Linked DNA regions of Rattus norvegicus. The protein of the gene in region 1 interacts with the protein of each later gene in a pairwise test. Links are inferred from orthologs where the notes say so. Each region holds a gene or a part of one and is shown in the gene's direction. Other genes may lie near its edges.

Region 1 (6,815 bases):
ACCCCAAAGGTAGTTTCTTAACCTGGCTGCTGGTTGCCATTCACTTCTTGCCCCTTCCCAAAGGACTCGAAGGTCCTCATCGAATTACACAAGTCAGGGTTTGCCCGCCCGGGTGACTTGGAATTTGAAGACTTCAGCCAAGTTATGAACCGAGTGCCGTCGGACAGCAGCCTGGGCACCCCAGATGGCAGGCCTGAGCTCCGAGCAGCTTCCAGCCGTAGTCGTGCCAAGCGTTGGCCTTTTGGGAAAAAGAACAAGGTGGGGTCCGGAGCTCTTGGGGTGAGGAGTGGGTGGAGGGGGGACAGTCAGCCGAGGTCCTCGCTGACTCAGCTGCAGCCACATGGAAGCCCGAGTCCTGGGGCAGGAATTTTCCTCTTGGCTGTTGGCCCAGGTTGGAGGGAAGGAAACAGAGGAAGGCAGGCCTGAGAACCCACTGGCTGGCTTTGGAGTCCCTCTGAGCATGAGAGGGAGGGAGGACAGGGCTGTGGGCCTGTGGCATCTTCTACTGCATCCTAAGACCCTTGAAATCTCATGTTGGCCTGACAGCTGTGACATTGCCCCCCAATCCCTGGGAGTCATCCTCTATCTCCATTCTCTGTTTTGGGGGACCCTCCACTTTCTGTGCATTTTCTCCTTGGGAATTTGACTTTTAGGGTCCAGTGTATACCTCGACACCACCTGGTTTACCCCTTCCACAATCACTCTTTCTTCTAGCTATTCCTTGCAGTTGTTTTCTTCTTTTCCATCCTATTTAACTTATACCCCTCTTACCTGACACCTCCCATCCCTCCTCCCACCTGTCATCCCTCCTCCCACCTGCCATCCCTCCTCCCACCTGCCATCCCTCCTCCCTCCTGCCATCCCTCCTCCCACCTGCCATCCCTCCTCCTACCTGTCATCCCTCCTCCCACCTGCCATCCCTCCTCCCACCTGCCATCCCTCCTCCCACCTGTCATCCCTCCTCCCACCTCCCATCCCTCCTCCCTCCTGCCATCCCTCCTCCCACCTGTCATCCCTCCTCCCACCTGTCATCCCTCCTCCCACCTGCCATCCCTCCTCCCACCTGCCATCCCTCCTCCCACCTGCCATCCCTCCTCCCACCTGCCATCTCTCCTCCCACCTGCCATCCCTCCTCCCACCTGCTATCCCTCCTCCCTCCCACCTGCCATCCCTCCTCCCACCTGCCATCCCTCCTCCCACCTGCCATCTCTCCTCCCACCTGCCATCCCTCCTCCCACCTGCTATCCCTCCTCCCTCCCACCTGCTATCTCCTCCTACCTGCCATCCCTCCTCCCACCTGCTATCCCTCCTCCCACCTGCCATCCCTCCTCCCACCTGCCATTTATCCTCCCACCTGTTATCCCTCCTCCCACCTGCCATTTCTCCTACCTACCTGCCATCCCTCCTCCCACCTGCCATCCCTCCTCCCACCTGCCATTTCTCCTCCCACCTGCCATCCCTCCTCTCTTGAACTTGGACTTCTGAGTAGTAGGCAAGCACTGATATCCCCCACCTCTCATCCCCCTATCTGTCTCCCTTAGCCTATGTGTCTGACCACCCTGGTTCTTTAAAAACAATATTACTTTTATTTATTTATGTATTGTGTGTGCTCATGCACATGTAGATGTCACTGAAGGACTTTCAGGACTCAGGTCTCTCCTTGATCCCAGGGATCAAACTTAGGTCATCGTGCTTGGTGGTGGCAAGCATTTTTACGGACTGAGCCATCACTTTGTCCCCAGTCTTTACTTCTGTCATGCACCCTACCTTCTAGACTGTAAGTGCAGGAAGCCTGGCAGAAACACCTCCTGGGGTGCTCTCTGAGTCCTAAGACTCAAGGGTCAAAGAAGGCTTGGGAAGTGACTGGCACCTGCCTCATAGTTTTTAATTTATTAGGTTTTATATTTTGGGGTATATGGAGGTCAGATGATAGCTTATGGGAATCAGTTTTCTCTCTTTCAGGGCTTGGCACAAACCCTTTTCCCTGCTAAGTCCTCTTGCTGGCCCTGGCTGCCCTTCTCTTGTCTTCCCTGGCACCTCCCAAATCTTCTGTTGTTGCTTTTATAGGTGTTTTCTGTGTGATCTTACCATTCAGTTGTGGTTTTCTTATCATTATTTTTCCCTCTTTCTCCATTTTGTTTTTCCTGTTTCCTGTGTCACGTCCGTCCATCCTTCTCCGACTACATCCTCGCATCTCCATCCCTGATTCATCCCCCCTTCCCTGGCCCCCACGGTTAGCCGCGTCCCCCATCCCTGTCCCTCCTGGGGGGTCACCTACCCTCCACACTGTCTGATGGACCCTCATCCCCCCGTTCTGGCCGTGACCCCTTGGCCATACTGAGCGAGATCAGTAAGTCGGTCAAACCGCGGCTAGCATCCTTCCGCAGCCTCCGAGGCAGCCGTGGGGTAAGTTGAGGCCGGATGGTGGGACCCTGGGCTCTTTCCTGCTGCCTGCTGGGTCCCCCAGATTCCAGCTTTGCTCTGTGCATGGCCTCACTCCTTAAAATTCCTGCTAGGGGAGGAAGGTGGACCTGGTATTTCAGGAGCGAGAGAGGCGCTTGGCAAACATAGGGTCGCAAATCCTAAACTCAGATCCTGTCTCATCTTGCAGACCGTGGTCACCGAAGATTTCAGTCACCTGCCCCCGGAGCAGCAGAGAAAGCGACTCCAGCAACAGTTGGAAGAGCGGAACCGAGAGTTGCAGAAGGAGGAGGACCAGAGGTGAGCGTGCTAAGCTGGACGAGGCTGGAGATGAATGCAGAACTAAGCAGGGTTACTCAAGGACCAGGCATAGCCTCCTCAGTAGAGCACTTGACTGGCTTCCTGAGGGTCCCATCCCTGCTGCTACTATGTTTCATGGTATACAAGGCTTTTGCCAACACAGTCTGGGCTCTGAAGGTCGTGGGTGTGCATATTGGTTGGTGTACGGAGGTGGAGGTCAGCGTCCTCTTTTTTTTTAAAGATTTATTTATTTATTATATATGAGTACACTGTAGCTGTCTTCAGACACATCACAAGAGGGCATCAGATCTCATTACAGATGGTTGTGAGCCACCATGTGGTTGCTGGGATTTGAACTCAGGACCTCTGGAAGAGCAGTCAGGGCTGTGTGGCTGTATACCCAACTCGCTATGTGGATCAGAACTCGGTTCTCAAGGCTGCTCAGTAAATGCTCTTAACCACTGAGCAGTCTCCAGCCCTGTACCTTGTCTATTATTATTATTATTATTATTATTATTATTTTATTTAATCTTGTTTTATAGTCCAGTCTTTATCCCTATCCTTGTCCGCCCTCTGACTGTTCTACATCTCATGCCTTGTCCCCCTTCCACTCCCCCACCCCCACCTCACCAGACCTCCCTACTCCTGGGGTCTCAAGTCTCTTGAGTGTTAGGCACAGGCACATCTTCTCTCACTGAGTCAAGACCCAGCAGCCCTCTGTTGTATATGTGTCGGGGGCCTCATATCAGCTGCTTGGTTGGTGGCTCAGTGTCTGAGCAATCTTGGGGGTCCAGGTTGTTGAGGCTGCTGGTCTTCCAATAGGGTCGCCCTCCTCCTCAGCGTCTTCTGTTTTTTCCCTAATTCAACCGCAGGGGTCAGCAGCTTCTGTCCGTTGTTGGGTGTAAATATCTGCATTTGACTCTTTCAGCTGCTTGTTGGGTCTCTCAGAGGGCAGTCATGCTCGGCTCCTGTTTGTAAGCACACCATAGCATCAGTGATAGTGTCAGGCCTTGGAGCCTCAAGTAGGTCTCACTATGTGGCCCTACTTGCCTGGAACTCACTACATAGACCAGGCTGGTCTTGAACGCATAGTAATGTCGAGTGATGATATTCAAGACGTGCACCACTACACGGCTTCTCTTCACTCTTTTTTGTTTGTTTGTTTGTTTGTTTGTTTGTTTGTTTGAGTCAGGGTCTCTCAACTGGGACCTGGGCTTGCTGAGTGGCCTGGACTGACTGGCCAACGAGACCTGGGGATCTCCTATTTCTGTTCACCCAATGCTGGGATTACAGATATGGGGTCTCATGTCAGGTTTTGTATGGTTTTAAAGGAGATTCCTGCCACACAGCGGGGTGTGGTAGCCCGTCTGTAATCTCAGCATTCCAGAGCCAGAAATAGGAGGATCCTAAGTTCGAAGCCAGCCTGGGCTTCTTGGGACACTGTCTCAAAACAGTAGTAGTGAAGAACAAAAACAGAGGTCGGCAAGGATCCTTTATTTCCCATGTCCTGTAAGTCCCTCCAGAAGATGGAGTCTGGTGAGCCCTTGTGCAGCCTCTCTCCATACATCACTGAGCAAACGACAAGGAAGTTTCCACTCCCCTCAGTGATCTGACTCAATGGCTAATAGCTCTTGACACCTAAGCCTGAGGATCTTAGTTTGATCTCAGAACCCACTGCAGACAGGGGCCATGACATGTGTGCGCACACTGGCATGGACAATAGAAATAAATAAGCAAATGGATAAATTAAACAATAGCCAGCTCATGGTAATAGAAACTTTACCACAACAAACTGTTGATGTACTTTCTAAGACAGGCTTGTCCTCTGTGGCTAGGAGCCACCCTTAGCAGCACTGGAGGATTCTGTGAAGGGCTATTTCACTCCGGACCAAGTCCTCACTAGGGGACTTTTGACAGGAACTGTACCCCGACCATGCCCCAGCCCTCATTTATTTTACTCCCTATCCCCACCCTGAGACAGGTTTTCTCTGTGTAGCCCTGGCTGTGCTGGAACTTGCTCCGTACACGGCTGACATTGAACTCAGCGATCCACCTGCCTCTGTCTCCTGAGCACTGGATTAAAGGTGTGCACCACCACCGCCGGCTTCATATATCTATTTTTATAATTCTTATTTTGGGACTGGGTCTGGGTAAATTGCCTAGGCTAGTCTGGAACTTTCAATTCTCATGCCTTAATTTCCCAAGTAGCTGGAATGACAAAACTGGCACTTGGGCTCAGTTTCAAAGCTCTTAGTAGACTGCAAAATAAAACAAAATGCCTGTCCCATGGAGCCTTACCCATTAGTGCCAAAACTGTGCAATCCCGGGCAGGAGCTCGGTCAGTCTGAGTCACTGTCTTGATAGGAGGAAGAGGAGAGTTATCTAATGCTGAAACACAAAATACTAACGTGAGAAATCTGCCAGATTTAAAAGGACAAGAAAGTCTTTACTCATTCTTTCCGGGCAACAAAATCCTCTGCCCAGCTTCCTTATATAACCGGAGTGACGTTTGCCACTTGTTAGCAGGTGGCCAGCCAGATTCTGTTTGGCTGTTCACATGTGGCCTTCTCCAGAGAATGGAAATCATGGGACAGAAGCCATGCCTGGAACTGCATGCAGCCTGGGCGTTTATAGTGGAGTGAAGCATCTGCCTGCTGGGAGTGCAAAGGGCTGGCTTTTCAGTTTGTTTACTTTTTGTCGTCGTTTTATTCTTTCTCTTATTTTGTATGGGCTTACCCGTGCCCTGGCTCCTATGAATCGGTCAGAGGACAGCTCTCTGGAGTCGGTTCTCTTTCCACTACGTGTCCCAGGGATGGAACCCAGGTCCTTAGGCTCGGTTGCAGGTGCCTTTTATCTGCTGAGCCATCTCGCTGGGCCTTACTTTTATATTTTATCTTGAGACAGGGTCTTGCTGACTTTTCCAGGTTGCCTTGGAACTTTAGTCTTCTGGGTGTGTACGCTGCCTGTGTGTGTATGCGACGCTGTGCACGGCCCTGCACACACGGAGGGCACAGGGTCTCGCTGGTGGCTGCTCTATCTCTCTAGCTCATTCCCTTGACGTAAGGTCTCTTGCTGAATTAGCAGTTGGTCTGAGGGCCAGTCTTTGCCTTTTCTTACCTCTGTCCTGCACGGCCCTTGAGTTATGGGTCCTATGGGAGCTGTACCCAGATCTTTACATGGGTGCTGGGGATTGAAACCCGTGTCCTAAGGCTGGTGTGGCAAGTGCTCTTACCCACAGAGCCATCTCCCCTGTCACCCTTGTCTCTTGAGACGGGGTCTTTAACTGATTTAACTAGAGTGGCTGGCCAGTTTAGCTGTCTCTGCCTCCCTGGTGCTGGTGCCTGGCTTTTCACCCGGGCACTGGGGATTGAACACGGGTCCTCTGGCTAAGTACTTGGGCGACCCACTGAGTCAGCTGTAGTCTCACTAAGTTGCTTGGGTTGACCTTGAACTCACTGTTGTAGCAGAGGCTGGCCCTAAACCTGCTATCCTCAGCTCAGCACAGGCACATGGGGGCTTTTGTCTCCACCACTAGCGTCTTGCCTCTCCTTGAGCCTGTCTTTTATTTGGTAAGTCATAAGAGTGTGTGTTTTCCTTCCTTCCTGTCTTTCTGTCTGTCTGTCTGTCCGGTCTCAGGGAGGCCCTGAAGAAGATGAAAGATGTATATGAGAAAACACCACAAATGGGGGACCCCGCCAGCTTAGAGCCCCGCATTGCAGAGACCCTGGGCAACATTGAAAGGCTGAAGCTGGAAGTGCAGAAGTATGAGGTCAGAGGCATGCGGCGGGTGTATGTGTGTGTGTGGGGTGAGTGTGTGTGTGTGAGTGTGTGTGTGAGTGTGTGTGAGTGTGAGAGAGTGTGTGTGAGTGTGTGAGTGTGTGTGTGAGTGTGAGAGTGTGTGAGTGAGTGTGTGCGTGTGCATGTGAGTGTGTGCATGTGAGTGAGTGTGAGAGTGAGTGTGAGTGTGTGTGAGAGTGTGTGTGAGTGTGTGAGTGTGTGTGAGAGTGTGTGTGAGTGTGTGTCTGTGTGTGTGAGTGTGTAGGGGGGGTGAGTGTGTGTGAGTGTGTGAGAGTGTCTGTGTGTGTGTGTGAGTG
Region 2 (6,217 bases), on another chromosome or scaffold:
GGAGGAGCCTGTTCTCAGCTTTAAGCATGTTCCCTTCATTGTAGGGCTATTTCTACAGCACCTATTATGTGCCCCAGGCACATGCCCTGGGAATTTAGGGAATTGGGAGGGGATGGTTGGGATTCATAACTTTCCTGTCTTCAATCCTGTAAGTCTGAAAGGTTTTGTGGCAGACTGGCATTTCTCAGTGGTTCACACGATGGGACTCCCTTAAATGAGGCGGGTATATGCCACCCTCAGCCCCTACCTTGAATGAGGCAGGGAGAGTGGACATTGCCCCATCTACATTCCTGTGATGTCAGGATGCACGTTCTGCTGGAGGGTTATACAGTGTACAGGCAGCATAGAGAGCTGTACCAGCAGGTAGGAAACGAAGGCCTCTCTGGGGAAATGGCCATATGGACGGACGTTTAGGAAGCCAGACTCTTTCAACTGCTGCTCACATACTCTGACTCTGACTTCTGTTGGCAGATCACATGGGGGGGTGGGGGCTAGGGGTGTAGCTTTATTGGTTGCCTAGTACACAGGAAGGCTGGGTTCAAGCCTCAGGAGTGCACAAAATGGGCACAATGATACTTAATCAGCACCGAGAGGTGTAGGCAGAAGGATCAGGAGTTCAGGATCCGCTTTCTCGGCATGGAAAGTTCAAGGCCAGCCTAGGCAGTTCCAGAATGAGACAGTCTCAAAAAAGGAAAAAAAAAAAAGATCACCTAGAAAAGCCGAAGGCTTGCTTGCTTCCAACCTTTGTGGCTCTGATAAACACTATGAGCAAATCAGCTTGGGAGGGAAAAAAGGGTTTACTTTCTTTCTTTCTTTCTTTCTTTCTTTCTTTTTTTTTAATTTTTTAAAAAGATTTATTCATTTATTATATATAAGTACACTGTAGCTGTCTTCAGACACACCAGAAGAGGGCATCAGATCTCTTTACAGATGGTTGTGAGCCACCATGTGGTTGCTGGGAATTGAACTCATGATCTCTGGAAGAGCAGTCAGGTGCTCTTAACCACTGAGCCGTCTCTCCAGCCCCCAAGGGTTTACTTTCTTATACTTCACTTAGCAGTCTATCAGGGAGACAGGATCTCAAGCAGGAGCAGAGGCAGGAGCCCTGGACATCATTGCTTAAGGCCTTGTCTGCTGACTGGGCAGTTGGCGTTCTTTTTTTTTTTTTTTTTTTCCGGAGCTGGGGACCGAACCCAGGGCCTTGCGCTTCCTAGGCAAGCGCTCTACCACTGAGCCAAATCCCCAACCCGGCAGCAGTTGGCTTTCTTAGACAACTCCGGATGCTTTGTCAGGAGACAGCATGGCCCACAGTGAGCTGGTCCCTCTCACATCAATCTGAAATCAAGACAGTCCCGCACCGGTAGTCCCCCACCTCCATGGACTCAGGCCAGTCTGATTCGGTGATCCCTCAGTTGAGACTCCCTCTTCCCCTGTGACTCTGGATTGTGTCAAGTTGGCTGTTAAAGTTAACTAAGCCAGGATTAATGGACACAAACCCTGCCGATACCTGAAGTATCTAGTAGAGAGACTAAGACCGAGAACGCATTCTTGGCGCAGCCATAGCTGGTGGGAAGCAAATCCTTCCACCCAACACTTTGGAGTCATGTGGAACCCTAGTAGGAGCTTTCCAGGAAATAGCCAAGCTTGATTGTCGCACCTCTCTTTCCCTCGACAGGACAGAGTCTGAATTGCCCAAACCAGCTTCCCCCAAGGTCAGCAGGAGCCCCACAGATACAACTGCTTTGGCAGAGGACATGACTCGGAAGAGTAAGTGGGCTGTGGGAGAGAAGAGTTGGAGAGTGGGAACTCCCACCCCTGCCGTCTCTACACACCTCCAGAGAGGCTGGCATTAGACGTAGTGAGAAGGTCGGGGTTCGCTGCCCGGCACCTGGACCCAGCTTCCAGTTTATTCCTTGGGCAGGTGGGGCAGCCTGTCAGAGCCTCTACACTCCTCTGTGCGGCCGAACTGTAATTGCCCCCCAACCTTGAAGCGCTGGGACCTCAGGGAGTGTGCAGGGCTCTGGCACACAGGAAGTGCTAGAGAAAGGAAGTCAGTGTCAGAGTGGCGAGTGTTCCAGCCCTCCGGAAGCCCAAGGACTATGAAGGACAGGACCAGAACTGTATTTAAGGGAGAGGGAAGTGAGAAGTTTGCAAGGAGTCTGGAGGCTCCTGGAGCTCCCTGGCACACTCAAGCCAGTCTGGCCCAGGATGGATATAGGTAAGAGGTCAGGGATCCTCATGAGGACTAGGTCACTGCAGAGCACCCATCCCAGTTCTGACAAGGAACTTTAGAGCTGAATGCATCCTGCCGTGCTAGGGGAGCAGCCATAGAAGTCTACAGGCCACACAGAGACCTGGAAACCAGGGTACTGTCAGAGTCACCTGAACTGGCTGGTGACTTACCAGTGAGGAAACAAGCCCCAGAGAGCAAATGAGCCATTCCAGACACCAGAGCCCACAGAGCCAGGGAGAGTTTTGATGTCAGCTCCACCTAGCTTCCCCGCAGCCTCCAACTACCTCACAAGGTTGGAACTTGCTTGAGGACCTGGGGCTTCTGAGAGGCAAGCAGGACCCCTGTGTCCCATGGGTCAATAGGGACAGGAGGCATTTATATAATTAACAGATGTGTAGCCACTCCTGCTTGACGCCTAGACTGAGCTAACTAGCAGCCATGTTGGGTTTATGTTCTGGGGAGAGACACAAGAAAGATGGGCAAGATACTTGTGAGGACAGGTTTTCTGAGAAAGATGATTGGCAGCATAACCGGGGTGGGGTCTGGGATATCTACTGTAAGCTGAGAGGTCCACGGAGGAGGACCACTAGGGAGCACTTCCACCAGAGAGGACCACCAGGGAGCACCTCAGTGATGAGGACCCACTGTGGAAAGTGAAACCACCCCCGCATGAAGAAATGTACAAAGGCCTAGATGCGGGAATGAACATGCGATGTACACAGACACGTGAACCCCTAACTTTCCTGTTTCGCTTCCTCCACAGCCAAGCGCCCAGCACCAGCCCGGCCTACCATGCCACCTCCCCAGCCTTCCAGCTCACGCTCATCCCCTCCAGCTCTATCCCTGCCCGCTGGCTCGGTCAGCCCTGGCACTCCCCAAGCTTTGCCACGCCGTCTGGTGGGCACCAGCCTCCGGGCCCCCACCGTACCTCCCCCATTACCCCCTGCTCCTCCACAACCTGCCCGGCGACAGAGCCGGCGTTTACCAGTCTCCCCCTGCCCAGCCTCCCCTGTCATTTCAAACATGCCTGCTCAGGTGGACCAGGGAGCGGCTACAGAGGACAGAGGAGGCCCTGAGGCTGTGGGTGGGCATCCCCCTACCCCAGTTCTGCCACCCCAGCCCCGGCCCAGGGGCCTCATTTCAGAGACAGATTAAGCAGGCCCTCCTGCCTGGCAAGTCTTCAGTGTCCCCTTTCTCTCCTCCTCTCCCCTTCCTCCCTTGTCTCCCATGATAGCCCTCACCATGTGCCTAGGTGCCTGCTGGGCCGGCCCCTATGGCCAGGAGGGCTCAAGCCAGCCCTCTAAATTTCAAACCTTTCCTCTTCCACTTTGAGCTTGGAGTTCCCACCCGACTCCCCACTCTCTGGCAGGGTTTCAAGGGAGCTACCAGAAGGAAGGACAACAGACATGCCTGTTCCTACGGGACTTTTATTTTTCTCTTGCCAATGTATTTTTGTAAGGCTCGTAAATAAATTATTTTTAACAAAACTGGAGTAAACGGCCAAACAAAAGCTTCCTCTCCTGGAGATACAGAATCTACCCCCATAAGGAGGAAAGGGGACAGATAGAGTATCTTCCCCTCCTTCCTGATTTAATAGCCAAGGGCTTGGGACTTTCTCGGAGCTGCTTGTCTGAATATGGTTCCCATAGACTAGTTTCTCACTGAGGTAATGGCACCACCTGCAGGTGACGACGTCTCTGAAGCCAGTGAGAGGGGACTGTACAGGCCATGCCAGCCTGAGGTGTAACACATGAGCTTAGTTCTGAAGCCTGGGCTCTTCCTCCCACCCAGGGCAGTTTGCTCAGCCTCTCAGGAGAATGGGTTCCTCTGAGGCAGTCTGTGGTCGGAAGACCAAAGCGCCCATGCACACACACACACACACACACACACACACACACACACACACACACACACACACACACAAACACACAACCTTCCCAGGAGCAGGGATTGATCTACTCATGGCCTTCCTGAGTTGCTCTGTGTAGACCCAGACTAACACCCCTTACAGCTCTACACCTGAGGGTCTTTTGGGAGTGGGCTGGCAGAATTGAGTCAATACAGCTGGAAGCCCAATTTAATAGCCTAGAGTGGGCGGGGGCATGCTGTCCAGAGTCTTATAGGCCAAGAAGATGGATGACAAAGGGCACAGAGAACAGAAATTAATTGGGCTCAAAGGCGTGGTTTTTCCCTTAGTCTCTTAAAAAGAAAAAAAGACTTATGTATATGAGTACACTGTAGCTGTCTTCAGACACCAGAAGAGGGCATCAGGTCCCATTACAGATGGTTTTGAGCCACCATGTGGTTGTTGGGAATTGAACTCAGGACCTCTGAAAGAACAGTCAGTGTTCTTAACCACTGAGCCATCTCTCCAGCCCTCCCTTGGTCTCTTAACTTCAGTTGCTCTGGAGGTTAGGCAGCTACAGCTCTGCTTAGAACCGCAAAATTGTGACAGTACAGATCCCCATTCATTCCTGGTCCCCACGCTTTGAACTATTGGTTATTCAAAGGCTCGACGGATTAAAAGGTCCCCATCTACAAAATGGAGACTTAGGCAGCTGGGACCACCCCATCAATAACATGGACAACCAATTGGCCCTGATGACCAAAATAATGTCTAGCTGTTTCCCCCACCCCACCCCCCACAAAACACATGAAGTCAGATTTCTAGGTTCCTGTCTTAAATCCATGTAATTGTTTGTTTTGTTTTTTTTTTTATTTTTTGGTTTTCGAGACAGGGTTTCTAGTACAGAATGTTTAGTACTTGCTCTGTAAACTGGGCTGTCCTCGAAATCAGAGATCTTCCTGCCTCTGATTCTGAGTGCTGCGATTAAAGGCATGTGCTACCATTGCCTGGCTACAATGTTTTAACATCCATTTGTGTGTGGATGTGCCTGGGGAGGTCAGAAAACAACTTGAAGGAGTATGTTCTCTCCACCGTGAGGTTTCTGAAGAAGGAACTCAGGTTCTCAGCCTTGACAGAAAACTGCCATCATCTGCTGAACCATTTCACTGACCCTGCATCCGTGTTTTAAAAATCATTTATCCTGGGTTCGGTCCCCAGCTCCGAAAAAAAGAAAAAAAAATCATTTATCGTGGTAGAGCGCTTACCTAGGAAGCGCAAGGCCCTGGGTTCGGTCCCCAGCTCCGAAAAAAAGAACCAAAAAAAAAAAAAAATCATTTATCTAAAGCCATCGAACTGTAAAGTATACATCTTTTTTTTCGGAGCTGGGGACCGAACCCCGAAACCAGGGCCTTGCGCATGCTAGGCAAGCGCTCTACCACTGAGCTAAATCCCCAACCCTTTTTTAAGTATACATCTTACTAAACGCGAATTATACAACAACAACAAAATCTAATTCCTCGGGGAACTTTACAGCACAGTCAGATGACCAGAAGGGTCACTGGTCAAGCCCAACAGCCTAGACTAGACTGTGAAGACATAGATGATGCGGCCCTTGCTCCTTCCACTTGTTTCTAAATGAGCGTCAATGGTTTGGAGGGCAAGATCTAGCCAGAAGACAACAAATCTCTCAGCCTCTGTTTTTTTTCTCCTAGCAACCAGCTGGCCTACGTTTCTAATTGGCTGGGAAGCGCACGGCGATTCGCTCCAGACCAGTCTGGCTCACCATTGGTCCCCTGGCGCCCTGCGGTCCCGCCCCTTTCTCCGAGCTCCTTCGAGATCGGCTAGAGCCTTCGACTAAACTCTCGTCGCCACTGGCTGAAGCCTGTGATGGTAGCCCCGCCCCAGCCCCGTTCTGCACGTCAATTGGTGGAGCTACCCCTTGTCGGCGGAGGGAGCGCAGCGCGCGCGTGCGAGCGGCCAGCCGGCTGCATGGCGCGCTGCGAGCGGCTGCGCGGCGCGGCCCTGCGCGACGTGCTGGGCCAGGCGCAGGGCGTCTTGTTCGACTGCGACGGGGTGCTGTGGAACGGCGAGCGCATCGTTCCGGGTGCCCCTGAGCTGCTGCAGCGGCTGGCGCAGGC

What was found.
Region 2: the proteins of Trip10 (region 1) and Sh3bp1 interact in binary tests that used the Homo sapiens proteins (3 or more experiments, as listed by UniProt). The two-hybrid records come from large-scale screens. The link is inferred for Rattus norvegicus from reciprocal best matches to the Homo sapiens genes TRIP10 and SH3BP1.

Annotation. Positions count from the first base shown.
Region 1 is NC_086027.1:2,226,169-2,232,983, forward strand, and holds part of Trip10 (cdc42-interacting protein 4), read left to right. Parts: intron 1-63; coding exon 64-258; intron 259-2,238; coding exon of another isoform or gene 2,239-2,406; intron 2,407-2,611; coding exon 2,612-2,721; intron 2,722-6,357; coding exon 6,358-6,490; intron 6,491-6,815. UniProt on the Homo sapiens protein: Required for translocation of GLUT4 to the plasma membrane in response to insulin signaling. Required to coordinate membrane tubulation with reorganization of the actin cytoskeleton during endocytosis.
Region 2 is NC_086025.1:112,346,935-112,353,151, forward strand, and holds the end of Sh3bp1 (SH3 domain-binding protein 1), read left to right. Parts: intron 1-1,675; coding exon 1,676-1,767; intron 1,768-2,996; coding exon 2,997-3,388; 3' UTR 3,389-3,725; downstream 3,726-6,217. Other genes in the region: Pdxp (chronophin), read left to right, coding at 6,069-6,217. UniProt on the Homo sapiens protein: GTPase activating protein (GAP) which specifically converts GTP-bound Rho-type GTPases including RAC1 and CDC42 in their inactive GDP-bound form.